2 linked regions of the Drosophila melanogaster genome follow. The protein of the gene in region 1 interacts with the protein of each later gene in a pairwise test. Each region holds a gene or a part of one and is shown in the gene's direction. Other genes may lie near its edges.

Region 1 (7,169 bases):
ATTGGAGCATCGCCATCGCGCAATCTGGACCACCAGAAGCCCTTCTACGAGGACGAGATGTTCGATCGCTCCACCAGCTACCGTGGCTCGCTTGGCAAATCGCTTGGAAACGCGCCCAGCTACAATGGTAATCCTCTAGAGAGCATTGTCCTAGTTTCGATTTTCAGGCAAATAGCGATTCGATACCGATATTATATATTAGCCCACTTACGTTTATAGCCATACATTCCTACCGATCGCCGCCCAAGCCCGGATACGGATTCAAAACGACGACTCTGCCCTATATACGCAATGGCTTCAGCTCCGTAAGTGCTGCCTGTTGCTCAGATCGGCATAGATCGCATCAGATCCGATCCGATCCGATCAGATCAGATTATATCCTTGGTGCCGGGCTGTCGGTTATGTAGCTTATAGCTTACCCACTACCACACGAACCTATCCGCTTATATGTAATCCCAAAATAGTTACGACGGTATTTGTTTCTTGTTTCTCTCACTTTCCAATGCCGCCACTGGTTTGCTCACCTGGATGAACTAACAACTGTTTCGCATATGTCTCAACTGGTTGGTCTGCTGCTTCATTGCGTGTCTGAAAACCCAATCCCACCCATCCACCCATCCTGCGCCACTCCTAACAACTATGTGTTTGCTATTGTTGCCCTGACACCTGACAACAAATAACTCAAAAAACTAACACCCATCCACACTTGACCAACTAAAACTCGAACATTTGCATCATGAACATATCAACATCACTTGAACACCATCAACATGTACATCTACATCCACATCTGCTCAGTGGTGAGTGCGCTGCGCCATGTGCCCAAGCCAGGATACGGGCTAGCACCACGCTCCCACACATTCAGCTCCACCACATCCGCTGCGGCCACGATGCATGGTGCCACTGTAAGACCGCTTTCGTTGTTGCTATGCCGTAGAGTCCTTTGAGTCCCCGTCTTGTGTTTGGATGCCCGTTGGTATCACCTGTAACTTGCACTGGTTTTTCGTTTATTATTGTTGCATGTGTCCCTCAATTTGATCAGAAAACTAATCCCATGCCCTTTTCGAAAACAGGACTTCTCCTATGGAGGACTGGGCGACAAGACCCACAGCACAGATTTGAGCTGCGGCAAATCGGAGGGTAAGTGAAATATATTTTGAAAACCCGGCTCGGCGAAAGAATAACATAATTCTCCTCTGGCAGCTTCTGTGGACTCGATCACCGAGGGCGATAGGCGAGCTCTGATGGGCGGCGACCTGCCCGCCTCGAGCACTTACTCAGGAGCACTCTCCTACCACTATCCGCAGGCCGGACTCATCCGGCGCAGTCTGCCCAACATGTCCCATTCGATAATTAGTTGCGCTAACGCAAAATTGTAACTGAGAACAACTATATGAAAGGAACATAAAATCCCAATAAAAAACGAAGTGTATACAGACAGATGATATATGAAATTAGTTAAACATTGCATGTCCCCGGCATGTAGGCTTTTTATACGCAGTGCTATGGCAATTTAAACGCAAACATAAACTGGACTCTTTTTCCAAATTACACCTTAATTCAACCATGTAACGGGCTACAGAACCGAGAAATGCATCAAAGAATAAGAAATTAATGTACCTACAGCAGAATCACACAGCAAAATGCGAAACATTAGATGTGTGGCATCAAATTTACGCTAAATCATTACGCAAATTTTATTTATTACTAAATATTTTATTTATTTATTTAAATAGAATATGTCAAAGAATAAACCAGAGATAATAAAACAGGACAAAAGCAGTGTCAACGTGTTTACAATTATTAAAACTTCGAGTGTGGAGATTATAAAGTTTCTTCTTAATCCTAGACGGAATTTACTCTTTGTCGAGCCGACAACGGCTAAAGTCTGTCGACATGCAGGAATGTTTGTGGAGTATTAGCTTACTATATATTGGCTAAACTGGCTTTAAACATTGTCGAATCGATAAAGAAACGCCATCAAGGGCATAATTCGGTGTGATTTGAGTTCGGGACGCAATATGTGACTGGAATGTAAAGTTCACAGAATAAATACGTAAATATTAAATAAGATTCCACAGAATCCATTTATCTATCATCTATATTGCACCATTGGTAACGCACTAGTTTTGCTTGTGCAAAGCTGCTCCGTCGGTACGTAACCCATAGGTCAGCTGGGTTTTCATCACTGCCAAACTGCTGCCAATGATCTTTTTGTGGTAGATCTGCCGCGTAACGAACCCAAAATCATCATAAAAGTCGCGCTCACTTTCCTGCCACTCGGAGATAGTGCACTCCAGTGAGGCGTACCCGCCGATAATGCAGTTCTTGACCACCAGTTTTATCATGGGGTCCATGATCGTCTGACACGGGTAATGGGGATCGATGGCAAAGCGATAGATCCATGCAGCATTGTATACGGCGTGGTGATTCTTCACACTAATAGCGGCCACAATCCTGCGCCGGAATTTCCTCGTGTATGTTTCCTCGTATGGACAGTTCTCGGTAAATATCTGGTAGCTAGCTTCCTTCGGTGAGCAGCGGAAAATGAAGGGTTCATAGCACTCGGCCACCAAAGACTGCGATGGTTTGGTCTGGAAAGTAAACGTTCTTAGTTTGAGATACTTTGCTGCCGATGCTTTAACACTTACCCTCATCAACTCCACTGCCTTGGAGTAAAACGAGAAGTAGGTGCCGGTAAATAGGCAAAATATGCAAGCGGGCACAGTGAGTGCACAAAAAAGCAGGGGCACTCCCAGAAATATGAAGAATATGGCCCACGTGATGACTATGAACTGCAGGGTGATCTGAAAAAAGTTGAAATCCAAATAGTTCATAGAGTTTGGGGATCTAGATAAAGATGTCTCACCTCTCGAAAGCAATAGACAAAAAAGGACTTATTCGAGAACGACATGATGTAGTCCCGCACCAGCTCCTGGCACTTGAGCTCATCATCTTGCGTGTAGTTGCGAATGACAATAAATGGCTGCATTAATGTGTTATTAAATTATTAGATAAGCCGAACCAAAAAAAAATAAAAACACCGATCAATCAGTGTGTCCAAAGCGATGCAAAATCCACTACTTCTTATGGCAAAACAGCTGTTGCTGCGGTGTTGCCACTCGAGACAGATATCGGCAAAGAGAACTCAAGACTGATAGCGTGAGAATAACTATCGCAAGAAGTTTATTTATTAGATATAATATTTTACAATGTTTGAAAATTAGTCTTCAACTCTTATTTTTTAAATGTACACCTGTTTGAATAACTATTTTAATTTATCGTTTGTTCCATTTATTTAAAAGAATCGCTTTCGTGAGCTTGCCGTGAGCTAGCCCAATCACGGTGCCATCTCTCATGCCAAACACTCTGACTTTGATCTGGCACTTTTTCTCATGACGTGTCGGCGAGCTTAACTTTATTAAAGAACTACTCGAAAAAGTCACTGCAAATAGCCGAAAATGCGCGACCAATTCATCAGCCTGGCCCTGATTCTGTGCGTCCTGCACAGCGCCTGCGGCTTGTACTTCCACATATCGGAGACGGAGCGCAAGTGCTTCATCGAGGAGGTTCCCGACGAGACAACTGTGATTGGTGAGCCAGAGCCTAGTGCCAACTTGGAAGTTTTACCAATCGACTAACTTGTCCTCCTGCAGTTAACTACAAGGTAGAGCTGTATGATCCGCGCTCTAATGGATTCATGCCCTCGTCGCCCGGAATCGGCATGCATGTGGAAGTACGCGACAGCGACGACAAGATTGTGCTGTCCCGCGTGTACAGCTCACAGGGCCGCATCTCGTTCACCTCGCACACTCCTGGCGAGCACGTCATCTGCATGTTCTCGAACAGCACCGCGTGGTTCAGTGGTGCCCAGCTGCGTGTTCACCTGGACATCCAGGTGGGAGAGCACGCTATCGACTACGCCCATGTGGCGCAGAAGGAGAAACTGACTGAGCTGCAGCTGCGCATCCGCCAGCTACTTGACCAGGTGGAGCAGATCACCAAGGAGCAGAACTACCAGCGATACCGCGAGGAGCGGTTCCGTCACACCAGCGAGAGCACCAACTCCCGCGTGCTCTGGTGGTCGCTGGCCCAGACCGTCGTCTTGGTTTGCATGGGCTTCTGGCAGATGCGTCATCTCAAGAGCTTCTTTGAGGCCAAGAAACTGGTGTGAGGTGCTCCGGGGCTAGGGCATCATCAGCACCACTGGCCAACCACTGGCCTCATTGTTCCGTGTGTTTCCCTCATTTGGCAGGAATTGCGAATTTCATCGATGGATCGTCATCCACCCAACCAGCCACTGGCCTCGACTCCAAGCACTTCTAGTTGTAATTTCTTGTGCGTAATTTAATAAAATCCATTGTACAAAACGAGACCGAGACTGTGTGCACCCCCACATCCTATCTTCGCTGGGTCAGACTGCCAGTCAGCTGAGCCGAGTCCCGTGACTATGTTTGCCTCACCAAGCGTGGCTTGTTCTTATCAGTAGGCTGTGACAGATAACCTGTGTCGTTGGCGTTAACTCCCTAGTTTTAAGACCGCGGTCCATCGTAACTGCATCGAGCAGCATCGTGTCGTGACTGCCCTTTATCTCATTGTTTGTTCTGTCGGAGAAGAGACTTTTTAGTAGCTCTTGGACCGCCCCGAGCAGCGGTCGTCAGTCGCGGCACAAATCCGACGTCCAAAACAATACAGCTTGTTGTGGCACACCAAACGCGAACGCTTACGACCCACAAAAGCCGCAGCTCTGTAACCCGATCCAGTCTGAAGCGCTTTCAAGTCAACAACTGGCCTAGGTCTCTGCTCCCTCTCCGGTTCAGTTGGTCTACGTCGGATTAGGCGTGCAGGCTGTTGAAAATGTTTCGCGCTACGGAAATCGGCAGCGAAGAAAGTGAGTCTGCAGCTAGATAAGATAAGACAAGAAGCGCAGGTAATCCTCTCTCTCCCTATTACATGTAGCCCTGCCAGCTCTGGCGGAGCTCAGCCAGGTGGGTTATGAACGCGATGCACGGGACGTGGAGTGGGTCGCCTGGAGAGGAGAACGGGCCCAATTGAAGCTGGCGCATCGCAGCTCCCTGCCCAATTATGGATTTGCTCCACCGACCATCCGCATGAAGTATAGGTATCCACGAGCCGTCTTCTTCGTTCTGGCCACAAAATTTTTTGAGGCCTTTGCTGCCAACGGCATTCGCAGTAAGTTTCCAGATTTCCATCCAAAAGCAGATAATCGATTTTTGGTCAGGTCAAAGGCATTCGTCGGCAAAGTCTGGTTGAAAAATTCCGAAACCAGGCTTATCAGCGGCACAGAAATATAAACACAAGGAGGTCTTATTGACAGTCAAAAGACCTGTGATGGTGCATAATATAAGAGGCATAGATAAGATGAAAATTTAGGTTGCAATTGGCAAATAATGGGCAGGAACAAGACCTAGCATTTAGTTACTTAAAAAGAAAATCTTCAAAAATAAGATAACTGACTCAAGATTATTATTATTGTTAATTAAAACTCCTGGAATTTTCCCATTGATGTGAATCTTAAAAAGAACATCCATCATTAAAGAGATGGCTTAACGAATTTCCAATTAAGTCTCAATGCTACAACCTTTATTTCATGGTCAATAATTCGAGATTGACTGCAGCCTGACCCACGATTACGATGTATACTCGATTCCAGCCGTACTCGCACTCTATCTGCGCGACGATCTCAACTTCACGGAGAGCTTTTCCACGGTGGTGCTGCACATCTTCAACTTTTTTGGCCAGTTCTGTCCGATCATTGGGGCGATCCTAGCGGATAGCTACATCGGCAATGTGCGCACGATATCCGGCTTCAGTTTTATCTACGCCTTTGGATGGTTACTCCTCACACTGACATCCCTGCCTGCCATGGGTCTTCCGATGGTGTAAGTACTCGCAACGGATTAGGATGAAGGATTTAGCTTATTCCACTTGCGACTCGTAGCTTGCTGGTGTCCATCGCTCTGCTGTTTATCGCCGTTGGCAATGGATCGATACGAGCCTGCATCACCTCGCTGGGCGCACTGCAGTTCAAGCTGCCGGAGCAGAGCGTCCATCTGGCCGAGTACTTCTCCTTCTACTATTTCGTCTACTATTTTGGAATATTCCTGAGCAAGATCCTTCCGCCGCTGGTTAGAGCTAACACGCAGTGCTTTGACAAGGCGGAATGCTATCCAGCCGTATTCGGCACCCTTGGCGCAGCCTTTATGATGGCCTGGTGTAAGTAACTATCAGTTTTCATAGCTTATTTCTATTTAATTTACGCATGCTTGTGGTATTAGTTATCTTTCTGGTTGGAAAATGGTTCTACAAGTCCGAAAAGCTGTCCGATGACAACATACTCTTCAAGTTCTGCGGCTGCATAAAGACCGCTCTCGTGGAGAAGTGGCGACGTCGCAAGTCGACAAAGCGCTCCAACTACTGGCTACACAATGCAGTTGTAGCCTACGACATGGGTTTCGTCAATGATGTGTCCAGAGTTTTGAGGGTCAGTTATACTTGTGTTATAATGAAGATTCTTTCAACTTCATAATTTCGTTTCTTTTAGATATCCAAGCTGTTTATCCCACTGCCCTTCTACTTTGCTCTGCTGGCGCAACAGGATTCCAGCTGGACATTCCAGGCCACCCAGATGAATACCACATTAATGGGCGTGACCATCCAGCCGGATCAGGCCAAGGCCGTGGGACCCATCTTTCTGTTCATGCTCATCCCTCTATGGCAGTATATAACAGTGCCCTTGCTGCGCCGCTACTTCAACTGGGAGCTCCAGCCGCTCCATAGTGTGACTGTGGGTGGGATCTTCTCCGCCGGCGCCTTTTTCTGTGCAGGAGCCTTGCAGGAACGAATAAAGGTAAGCAGGAATAATAAGATACCTCACCTGATCGTTTATTAACCCGAAATATTCGAAGAATTCCCCGCCCCAAACAGTGAATATAGCTTGGCAACTGCCCCAGTTCCTGCTGCTCATGATGGGCGAATTACTGCTTTCCATTCCGGGTCTCCAGTTCGCCTTCACCCAAGCACCGACCTCTATGAAGTCGGTGGTCACGGCAGCCTGGTTTCTAAATAATGCTTTCGGCAATCTGATCGTGGTTCTGGTCACCGAGCTGGGTATGCTTAGCTCACAGATGGCCGAGTACTTCTTCTAT
Region 2 (9,284 bases), on another chromosome or scaffold:
GGCCGAGTGTCCCGATCGCCAGCAGTAGCAGCAATACTACAAGTCGGGGTGCGCCGGGGATCGGAGCTGGAGATGGACCAGGAGCTGGAGCAGAAGCTGGAACTGGAACTTGAATTGGATTATCGGGCAATGAGCGGCAGAGCAGCGGCAGTCGTGCGGACATCTCTTTAGTCGAAAACTAGTGTCAAAAATAATGGTATAGGTTGTCTCCCAGGAGCTTTTCTACAACGCAATTTGTGCAGGTTAATAGAAAACGACTATTTTTGTATGATTTGATACAGGATCAATCAAACACACAAAAACCCACACTCACACACAACGGCACATACACATGCTCACACATATGAAATTGCATTTATACAACATATAGAATACGAGAATCGAAACAGACAATTGACCACGCCTTCAGTTCCGTTCCCCGATGTGTTGGCCAAACCCCGGCCACTTTATATATAAAAAACACTTAATTGCCAATTTCTTTTTATATAACCATTCTTCATTGCAACACATAATATTCTAATTAGTTGAAGCTCCCTAAAAGTAAGCAGAAAGTTCAGCAAAATGGTTTGTTAATTGAATTAAAACTGACTAGCGAAGCACGTTCAAGAACGAATGTAATTTTAAGCATAAAATGTTAATTATTTACATTTACCTTCTATCTACCCCCCGTTTTGATTACACCATACTCAATTTTCGTATTCGGAATTTCCATTTAAACCCTTCCCAATTAAGTGATGATTATTATGATTTATGCGAAAGTAAATGTTAAATGAACGTTGATTGTATTGTACAAACGTTTCTTACGTTGCGGGGCGAGAGTGGAAGTGGAGATGGCGATTTATTTGAACAGCAAATATAAACCTTACCTAAATTTAATAACTATATTACCCGCACGCCTGCTCCTACTCCTACTCCCTAATCCTCTAGCGTTCTACCATACACACAGCCATGATACAGAACCCGAAAAACACACACACACACACACCGACTCTGTTCACATTTCAAAATGAGTATCGACATTTTAATTTTGTGCAATCCCCTTGATTTATATTAAATTGTTTTCGACTTATATTTTCCACTTAAATAATTTTCTTTGCGCCGCGGTGTAAATTGTCAAAAGCAAGTAAAAGATTTGGAACTCTTCCAGTACTTTGTACGAGTATCGGGTGATGGTTTTTCAGTTTTCTCAACTCTACACCGCGCAATATCTGACAGTTGAAACACAAAGTATAAGAAAAATTATTAATTTTTTACTATTACTATTCAATAAAAACAAAAAACCATATAAAACCAATAAAAATCGTAAACGAATTTTTTGCTTTTTTTTTGCAACATTTTTATTTTGTTTCACGTTTGTTTAGTATTTCGATTGCTTCTGTTAAAAAAAAATATGATAACACCAAGAATAACAGACCTGATATTGTAAATTTTTAAAAATATACATACATATTTACAACAACTGCATTAGTAATTCTAAGAACGTAAAAATACAAACTATATCAAATGTATATATTTTCCTATATTAACGGACAAAATCAAATGTAAGAGTCGACGGCCAAATGGCAATTGCTGTCTGCAAAACAAAATATTTTCATTAACAATTCGATTTCTAACTATAATTTTCAACCCAGATATAGCAGATACAACCGTATGTCTTATTTCTTTTGAAATACAAAAGTTTTAAACCGAAACTTTTCTGTTTGAATAAAGGCGCGATCTGGCAGCTCTAGGTAGTGGTGTCACAGCGTCGATAACTAACTTAGTTTCTCACCGAGCTGCAACAAGTTTAATTACAATCGATAACGAAGATTGGAGCTTTTAGTGAGTAAAATTTGACCCATTTCTGTTGTTTGAACGTTTATTACGCATTACGTATTTACTTAAGCGATTTTGTGAATTTTTTGTGTGTAGTTATGTGCACGAGAGATGGAATTTTTGACCGAAAGCTGCTATCGATAGTGACATTCCTTCGATTTATTTTAGCAACCATCGATAGCTAAGCAAGCGAAACAAAAAATTATTTTCAACTTGAAAGTTTTGCGACAAGTGCGTGCAGTTGGCATCGAAATAGTTAACAAAATTGCCGCAGACTTCCGGAGACAACGCCGTAATGGAGGACCGTAAGTGTGTGGCATACGGACGCAGTGCATCATTGCAATTCCAATGCAGCGGCACATGTTTCCGTGGGCTCTTGTGACCTGGGCGATTGGGACACCTAAGACCTTTCGGGTAATTCGGGTATCATTACTATTGTAGGACTCTGATTCAGCAGCGGCTTTGCCAAAAGTTTTGGGGGACTTAGAATACACAATGAGTTAACCTTGGTGCGCTGGGAATCAGCAGATGAGTCATGGTTCCGATTTGCGTAGGGTGAAAGGCTTTCCAACTATTCGGATTACCGTGGAAGTTCTGCGACATGCCATCGATGGCAATCCGTTTGGTGGGCGGGGGTCAGGTTCTTTGTGGTGTAAGTATTGCATTCTCGGTTTCCGACGTCCATGCATACGTGGCTTTTAGAAGCGCAACATCCGCAGGGCGGCTATGATATGCATATCATCTGAAAACGCCTCCTCCCACTGAGCTTATCACCATGGTGCCACTATAATTGTTCGGAGCTCTGTTCCCCCACCGAAACCACTTAGTAATTGGCTTCCACTTGTTGACTTCTCGATGGGATTGGGCCTGCCACAACAACAGGCACTTCTGAGCAGCAAGAACTCGCAGCAAACCAGAACTAGCTCACATATATATATATATATATATATAGTGTAGATATAGGGTCCATCAATGTGGCACAGTGGCTTTGTGCTCATACAGTGCTTGATGGTCGGAGGAAGCTGGGAAAAATCGGAAAAATCCAAACTGGTAATTGCTATTTAGCAAGAAGCTAAATTATGAATTATTTTCCTTTTTTTGTTTGGCTCCAACAAAGCGATACAGTTATGTACAGTACGTTTTTGCAAAGAAAAACTTTATTTATAGTTATATTTAAAGTTCCTTATCATAGGGTTTTTCAATTTTTAAAGTTGTTCATCTCCTCACAATTGTTTACTTAATAAATTTAAAAGGTACAATTAAAGAAGAATATTATTCAATTAATAAATTGAAGTCTCGGTTTATCAAAGCTTTTTGACTGATAAAATAATCATTTTAGCTGCAATTAAATTAGACACATATATGTATATCTAGTGTCTTATCAAAGCGTACTTATTATTTATGCAAATATTATTAGCTTTATAACTTTCCCATGCTTATTAATTTATAAATTAAATGAAGTGTAAAGTTGGTTACTATAGAGCTAATGTATTTACGTAGCTGTAACTTTTAGTCAAGCTCTACTGTAGTCTTGCTGGTTGCTACTGCTGCTGCTGCCTGTTGCTGCCCCTTTTGTTTAGCGCTCTTCTTGTGGCATTTCTCGTCTTCGTGCTGACACGAATCATCAACAAGCGGAGCCAAGCGGCCAACCAATCCACATCTACCAATTTCTAAGCCGAGATCGAGTCAGTTGGCATTTGGCTGTAGACGAGCGTGGATGGAGCAGGCCCAGAATCGAAAGCGAAAACGAAACTGAAATCGAAACAGAAACAGAAGAACCACCACAAACCAGCTGCGATCGCATGGGGAGAGGAATTTATGTGGAACGCGGCGGGCCAAGAACTGAAAGCTCAGCAAAGAACGATCGAAGTGGCTGAAAGCAGGGCCAAGAAAAATGTGCTCGCTGCTGACCGTGGAAACGTGATATGTGCTTAGGATTGGGCCAAGACAATATGAGCCTCCTGCGCCAGCAGCTGCCACGTTCAAAATAGAAAGTTGCTGCCAAAGATGAAAGAGAGCGCCGCTATTGCCACAGAATGAGCGAATCGGAACCGAATAGCCTGGAGTTCATTGAAGACCCCTATCTGCCAAGCATTGATGATCTCACCAGCACACCGTCACTGGATCTGGAAACCAATGATGCCGTCTTGGACTGGTATGGCGATGGGCAGGAGGAGAGCGAGGCTGAGCTATATTTGCGTAATCTGACGCTAGACCAGATATTCTACGATGTGGATTCGGACTACACCAACAGCCTGGAATTGCAGGCAGTGGAGGCGGACTTCATTGCCGCCAAGTTGGCCAATCAAGCGCCATCGTCTTCGATGGCCAAACGCTTCCGCTTGAAGTTCTTTGCCAAGCGAACCATGCGCGACGTTAAGGTCACGTTCATAGACTTCTCCAAACCGTATCTGGCCAAAATATCAAACAGTGATAACTACAAGAGATTCCTCAACATTGGGCATAGAAGTAGAGGTACCAAATTCGGTCAGTGGGGAGGGGGGTTGGTGGGCTTAGGTCGGGTCTTTGTTCTGTGGCATTCGCTTTTCCACTTTCAACCATGACTAACCAGACTAACTTCTCTGTTTCTTTCTCCTTTGCCTGCCTTTCGCCTCGTCAGTTTGTGAGTATTAACAAAAACCCAGATCTAACCAATTAACCAACTCATGTCTTTGCAAATTGTACATACTCGTATATACAACTAAATTCGGTGTATTCAGCCTATGACAAAGTCTTTGAGGAAGTTGCTTTCAAAGGAGGTACTTAAACACTACCCGCCGACAACATTGAAATTAAGCTACAGTCCCCACACAGCACCCCAAGTTTTAATGTTCCCTTGGATTGGCATATATTTAATGGCTTTTTATTTCATGTTCAGATAATACAGCCAACCTGTCGGAGCCAGCATCTCCAGCTAATTCTGTGGCATCCGCAGAAATTGCCGCCGAGTTCGCTGCGCTTTCCGTCGAGGAGAAGGAGCAGCGTCGGGCTGAGTGGAGTCAGGTAAGGAAGTTTTCAGTTTTACGATCATAATTTGATTACTCAGCTCGAACGCTAACTTCTACTTCAATTTCCAGGAGCTCGCCCGCGTTGAGGAAGAGATCAATACGCTGCGAACTGTCCTAGCCTCCAAGACGCGCCATGCCTCCGATCTCAAGCGCAAGCTGGGCATCACCGTCTGGAAGGAGGTGACGGACGACGTGAACCAGGGCCTTAAGAACCTCAAGGAGAGCACTGTGTAAGTCTATGAACCGTTCGCAGTTCTGCTGGGCAATTAACCCGACTAGACAGTTTTAATTTCTAACCATGCTTTTTGTTTCAAACTCCTGTTGAAACGCTATAACGTGTATTTATTTAGTTACCAATCGGTGGAGCAGAGCGTGGGCACGTTTACTAAAACGGTGTACGAGGCACCACTGTAAGTAATTGGGTTCAGGCTGATTTTTAATTGGGTACTTTTGGAGTTACCGGACTAACGCCGTGTTTCACGCCACTTCCTTTAACACAATAACCAACTCTCGCCTGTTTGTAACTAAAGCGCACCTATGTTTGCCCACTTTGTGTATGGAGGAAAACTATCGAGATGAGTAACTAATGTTGGATTTATTTGTACTCTCCCCTAGATACCAACGCACTGAGTCGGTGCTAAAGTCCACGGGCGAGAAGACCGCCTCGGTGTTTGGCAGCATCACCAGTGGCATTTCGTCGAAACTGTCGCAAATGAAAAACTCCGAATCGATGCGTTCTATCGAGGCTTCGGTGGGCTCTGCCTACGAGAACGTTAAAGTAAGCTATGAACACAACAATTTTATGTGCCAATCTCATGCGGTAACTACTATTTTATTATATATCTGTCTTTACACATCTCTCATACTGTTGCGATTCTGTTTTGGTTCCCGTCTAACTAACTAGCCACTAACTAACCAACTAACTAACACTAACCACACATCTTTCACACTTGCTCACCCACTATAAACGCACTCTGAATTGGGATACTTCGGTTGATTTGCTTGCTTACACAACGAACTACTCCTTGCGCAAATGCTACTGCACCTCTACTACAATCTGTTCGGTTTTCTGTTCTATTGTAGACCAAGGTGACATCCCGCTCGGGTTCGGTGTCCAGTTTCCCAGATGCCCTGGACGAGAATAACACATCCTCGGGTCTGAATTCACCCACAGACTCACTCCCGAAATAGATTTCGGGGCAACTGCAAGGCCAAGCGCGTCGATAATGTGGAGCAACCTATACTACATACAAACAGACCCACGCACCCACTCTATTAACTTATTTAACTAAAGCGAATTGTCGTGTCTGCGCACTAACAACAGGATCAGAATTAATTTAACCAGAAATCATATGTACACCTGTGTCGATACGGTTTATATAATACTTAATATAACTAAAATCTGCGCGTCAAAAATTTGCCAATGGGAGCACATATTATATGCATCTATTTGTATTTGCCTTGGAGACACCATCAAATTGCATGACTTGTTTAAATTTAAAGCCACGGAGGATCGAAGATCCAAGGGCTTGCTGCATTCGTTTATATAACTATCAATCTAAGTGTACGTTTAAAGACTAAACCACATTGGATGGTCCACCCGATGTCATTCCCAAATGTTTCTAATACTTAGTAAAAACATTAGAAAATCATGCATTGCGGTTAAAGTGAATATACATTTGTTTTACGCTTTTATTTCTTCTCTAGGCGTTGAGTTCCGTGGTTAGATGGCGTTCCCTAATCCGTTGAAAAGCCAATTCCAAATTTATTTAGTACTAAATATTTGTGTTACGATCAGAGCTTGCGTGCAAATAACGAAAATCCATTGGTAAACTTAAGTGGATGTAGTCCGTACTGCTGAAGATTGAGAAAGAGACGAAATCGCACCCAATTTGTTGCTAATGCTGATCAAATTTGCTATATGTGTATGAAATCTTTGAATAAATGCAAAAATTTTTGCCCCATAAAAATAGCGATGTCTTTTTGATAAATGATGTTTGGGAGTATATGTGTGATTACCTTTTCAAACTTAAACTACAGCTAATGAATTAAAAAAAGTTAATTTCCAATTTCATCTGTCAGCTTTAAATATCCCGCCAAAAATTATAATAAAGTTGACAACTCTGATTTAACCCAGGGATCAACGTAAAACAGCTGTTTGCTTTGACGAGGTGGCAACGCCATAGAGGGTTCTTGCATACTTCTCAATTTTTTCTTCAGGCCACAAGAAAATCTTTAGATATGAGGAATTTTAAATGAAAACAGCGAGCAAACAGAACGCATCGTGATGCCGGAAACCTAATCAACCACTCCGAAGTAAAGTGCAATTAAATTACATAGTTTTATACAACTGAAAGCGGCTGGCCAGCCGCATAAAGTATTCGCCTACACCAGCATTGTTCTAAATGCTAAAAAGTTTATTACTCATTAAGCATTTGTGTGCCTAGTTAGTTAATTAATCGCAGCCGAAAGATGAACTTGACGTACTTGTTCGTGCTTATTTGGCTGGCCTTCCTCATCAGCAGCGGCGTGATGCTCTTCTCGCGGGGATTCCTATTGGCCCGGGTGTCCAAAACGGAGACGAGCACCTGTCGCAGGTTGTCCACAAATCCCAATGCTGTAAGTACTAGGTAATGAACGAAATGGGATGCATTTCAAATCCTTTGTCCTCAAACAGGAGTACGTACTCACCGATGAGGTTGTGAACGAAATCTTTAAGGATGTCAACGCCTCCTCCAATCTGTGTCTTCCGCAAAAGTCGAAGGTTATTGTCCTGGTTGTGGATGCACTTAAATATGAATTTGGCCTGTACAGGGCGAATGCTACGGATCCTTTGCCATATGAAAACAAATTGGTGGTGCTCCAGGAGCTGCTGCAGCAGAATCCTGACCACGCCCGCCTAATGAGATTCCGAGCGGATCCGCCAACCACAACGTTACAGCGCCTGAAAGGACTCACCACCGGCAGCCTTCCCACATTCATAGACATTGGCTCCAATTTTGCCTCACCGGAGATCAACGAGGATAATATCATTGATCAAATAGTCAAGAACGATCTACCAGTTGTCTTCCTGGGGGATAGCACCTGGACGGATCTGTATCCTCATCGCTTCAAACGATCGTACTCCTATCCCAGTTTCGATATATTCGATTTGGATAGCGTGGATAATGAGATATTAAAACACCTGCCCAAGGAGCTGGAAAGTAAGGATTGGCAAGTGCTGGTAGCCCATTTTCTCGGCGTCGACCACTGCGGACACAAACACGGACCCATGCACGAGGAAATGGCGCGCAAATTGGGCGAGATGAACGAGGTGATAAGGTAGGCGGCATCACATTTATTGGTAACCGCATATCATCATGTCCATCATTCATTTAGATCCGTGGTGGCGGCCATGGACAACGACACCACGCTGCTGGTGATGGGCGACCATGGAATGACGGCTTCCGGCGATCATGGGGGAGACACCGATGACGAAACCAACGCTCTGCTGTTTGCCTACTCCAAGCAGCACAGATTTTATGGCAATGATTCGGGCTCAGATAGCGAAATGCTGCAGCAGGTGAGATAAGACAACGTTTAATCACGGCGCGTCACGTCACAGTGATAAGCAACGATATTTGCTTTCCAGATTGATCTGGTACCCACGCTGGCCACCATTCTCGGCGTCCCAATACCGTACTCCAATCTAGGCCTGGTCAACTTCAACATTGTACCCGATCTGCGAGTACCGCATTTAAACAAGTTTCAGACCCTTTTGCTTCATTCCTGGCAGAATGCCCAGCAGATCTATCGCTACTTCTTCCAGTACGCTTTGGAGAACAAGCGCACATTCAACGTGGAACAGATGGACCATCTAGAGACTGAATTCATACTCCTCACCCACCGAGTGCAAACCGTTTACAACGAGGTTGCTTTTAAATCTTTTGTACGTGACTTGAACACCAATCTGCGGGACATCCTGGGCACATGTCGCGAAATCTGGGTCAGATTTGACCCCACTCAGATGTCGCAGGGCCTGCTGTTTACCTTCCTGCCGTTGTTCTTTATCTTCCTTGTGGTAAACAACTCTCGGCCAGCGGATTTTCCGCACATCTTCAAAGCCAAGGAGGTCTTCTATGTATACCTAATCAACTTGGCCGCTGGAGTATTTGGATATCGGTATTTCAAGACATTCTCCTTTAAAACAGAGGAGCAAGGAGTGATCTTCTTTACGGCAATATCCAGTGCTGTCATCCTGGCTTTCCATACACTACGTCACTGGACCAGCATTGCCACGAATTGGTCAGCAGTCAAGCGATTTGGACACATGCCCACGCGTCTGCTGCTTTTCGGTTCCATGGCGGTGTTCTTCTCGAACAGCTTCGTCATCCAGGAGGCCAAGATCTTATCGTACCTCTTGGCAGCAGCGATACTACTGCTCTCCCACGAACTTCTTCGGCTGAGTGCCCGTTTGGATTT

The links. Proteins that work in one complex are often made in the same cells at the same time.
Region 2: the proteins of eca (region 1) and CG5174 interact in a two-hybrid assay, tested with the Drosophila melanogaster proteins (one large-scale study listed by BioGRID).

The regions. Positions count from the first base shown.
Region 1 is NT_033777.3:9,681,672-9,688,840, reverse strand, and holds eca (eclair), read left to right. Parts: upstream 1-3,364; 5' UTR 3,365-3,461; coding exon 3,462-3,594; intron 3,595-3,656; coding exon 3,657-4,174; 3' UTR 4,175-4,372; downstream 4,373-7,169. Other genes in the region: Unc-115b (uncoordinated 115b), read left to right, coding at 1-127, 220-305, 1,074-1,140, 1,204-1,379; CG18542 (uncharacterized protein), read right to left, coding at 2,124-2,594, 2,652-2,807, 2,870-2,992; CG9444 (uncharacterized protein), read left to right, coding at 4,858-4,891, 4,960-5,193, 5,675-5,903, 5,963-6,237, 6,300-6,505, 6,566-6,871, 6,930-7,169. UniProt on the Drosophila melanogaster protein: Eca and bai are essential, though not redundant, for dorsoventral patterning of the embryo. Specifically required during early embryogenesis for the activity of maternal tkv, while the zygotic tkv is not affected. Involved in Golgi organization.
Region 2 is NT_033778.4:18,419,434-18,428,717, forward strand, and holds CG5174 (uncharacterized protein), read left to right. Parts: upstream 1-3,498; 5' UTR 3,499-3,851; coding exon 3,852-4,302; intron 4,303-4,435; coding exon of another isoform or gene 4,436-4,438; intron 4,439-4,535; coding exon of another isoform or gene 4,536-4,574; intron 4,575-4,693; coding exon 4,694-4,818; intron 4,819-4,892; coding exon 4,893-5,053; intron 5,054-5,173; coding exon 5,174-5,233; intron 5,234-5,438; coding exon 5,439-5,643; intron 5,644-5,906; coding exon 5,907-6,014; 3' UTR 6,015-6,530; coding exon of another isoform or gene 6,531-6,572; 3' UTR 6,573-6,788; downstream 6,789-9,284. Other genes in the region: PIG-O (phosphatidylinositol glycan anchor biosynthesis class O), read left to right, coding at 7,296-7,442, 7,501-8,144, 8,202-8,385, 8,455-9,284.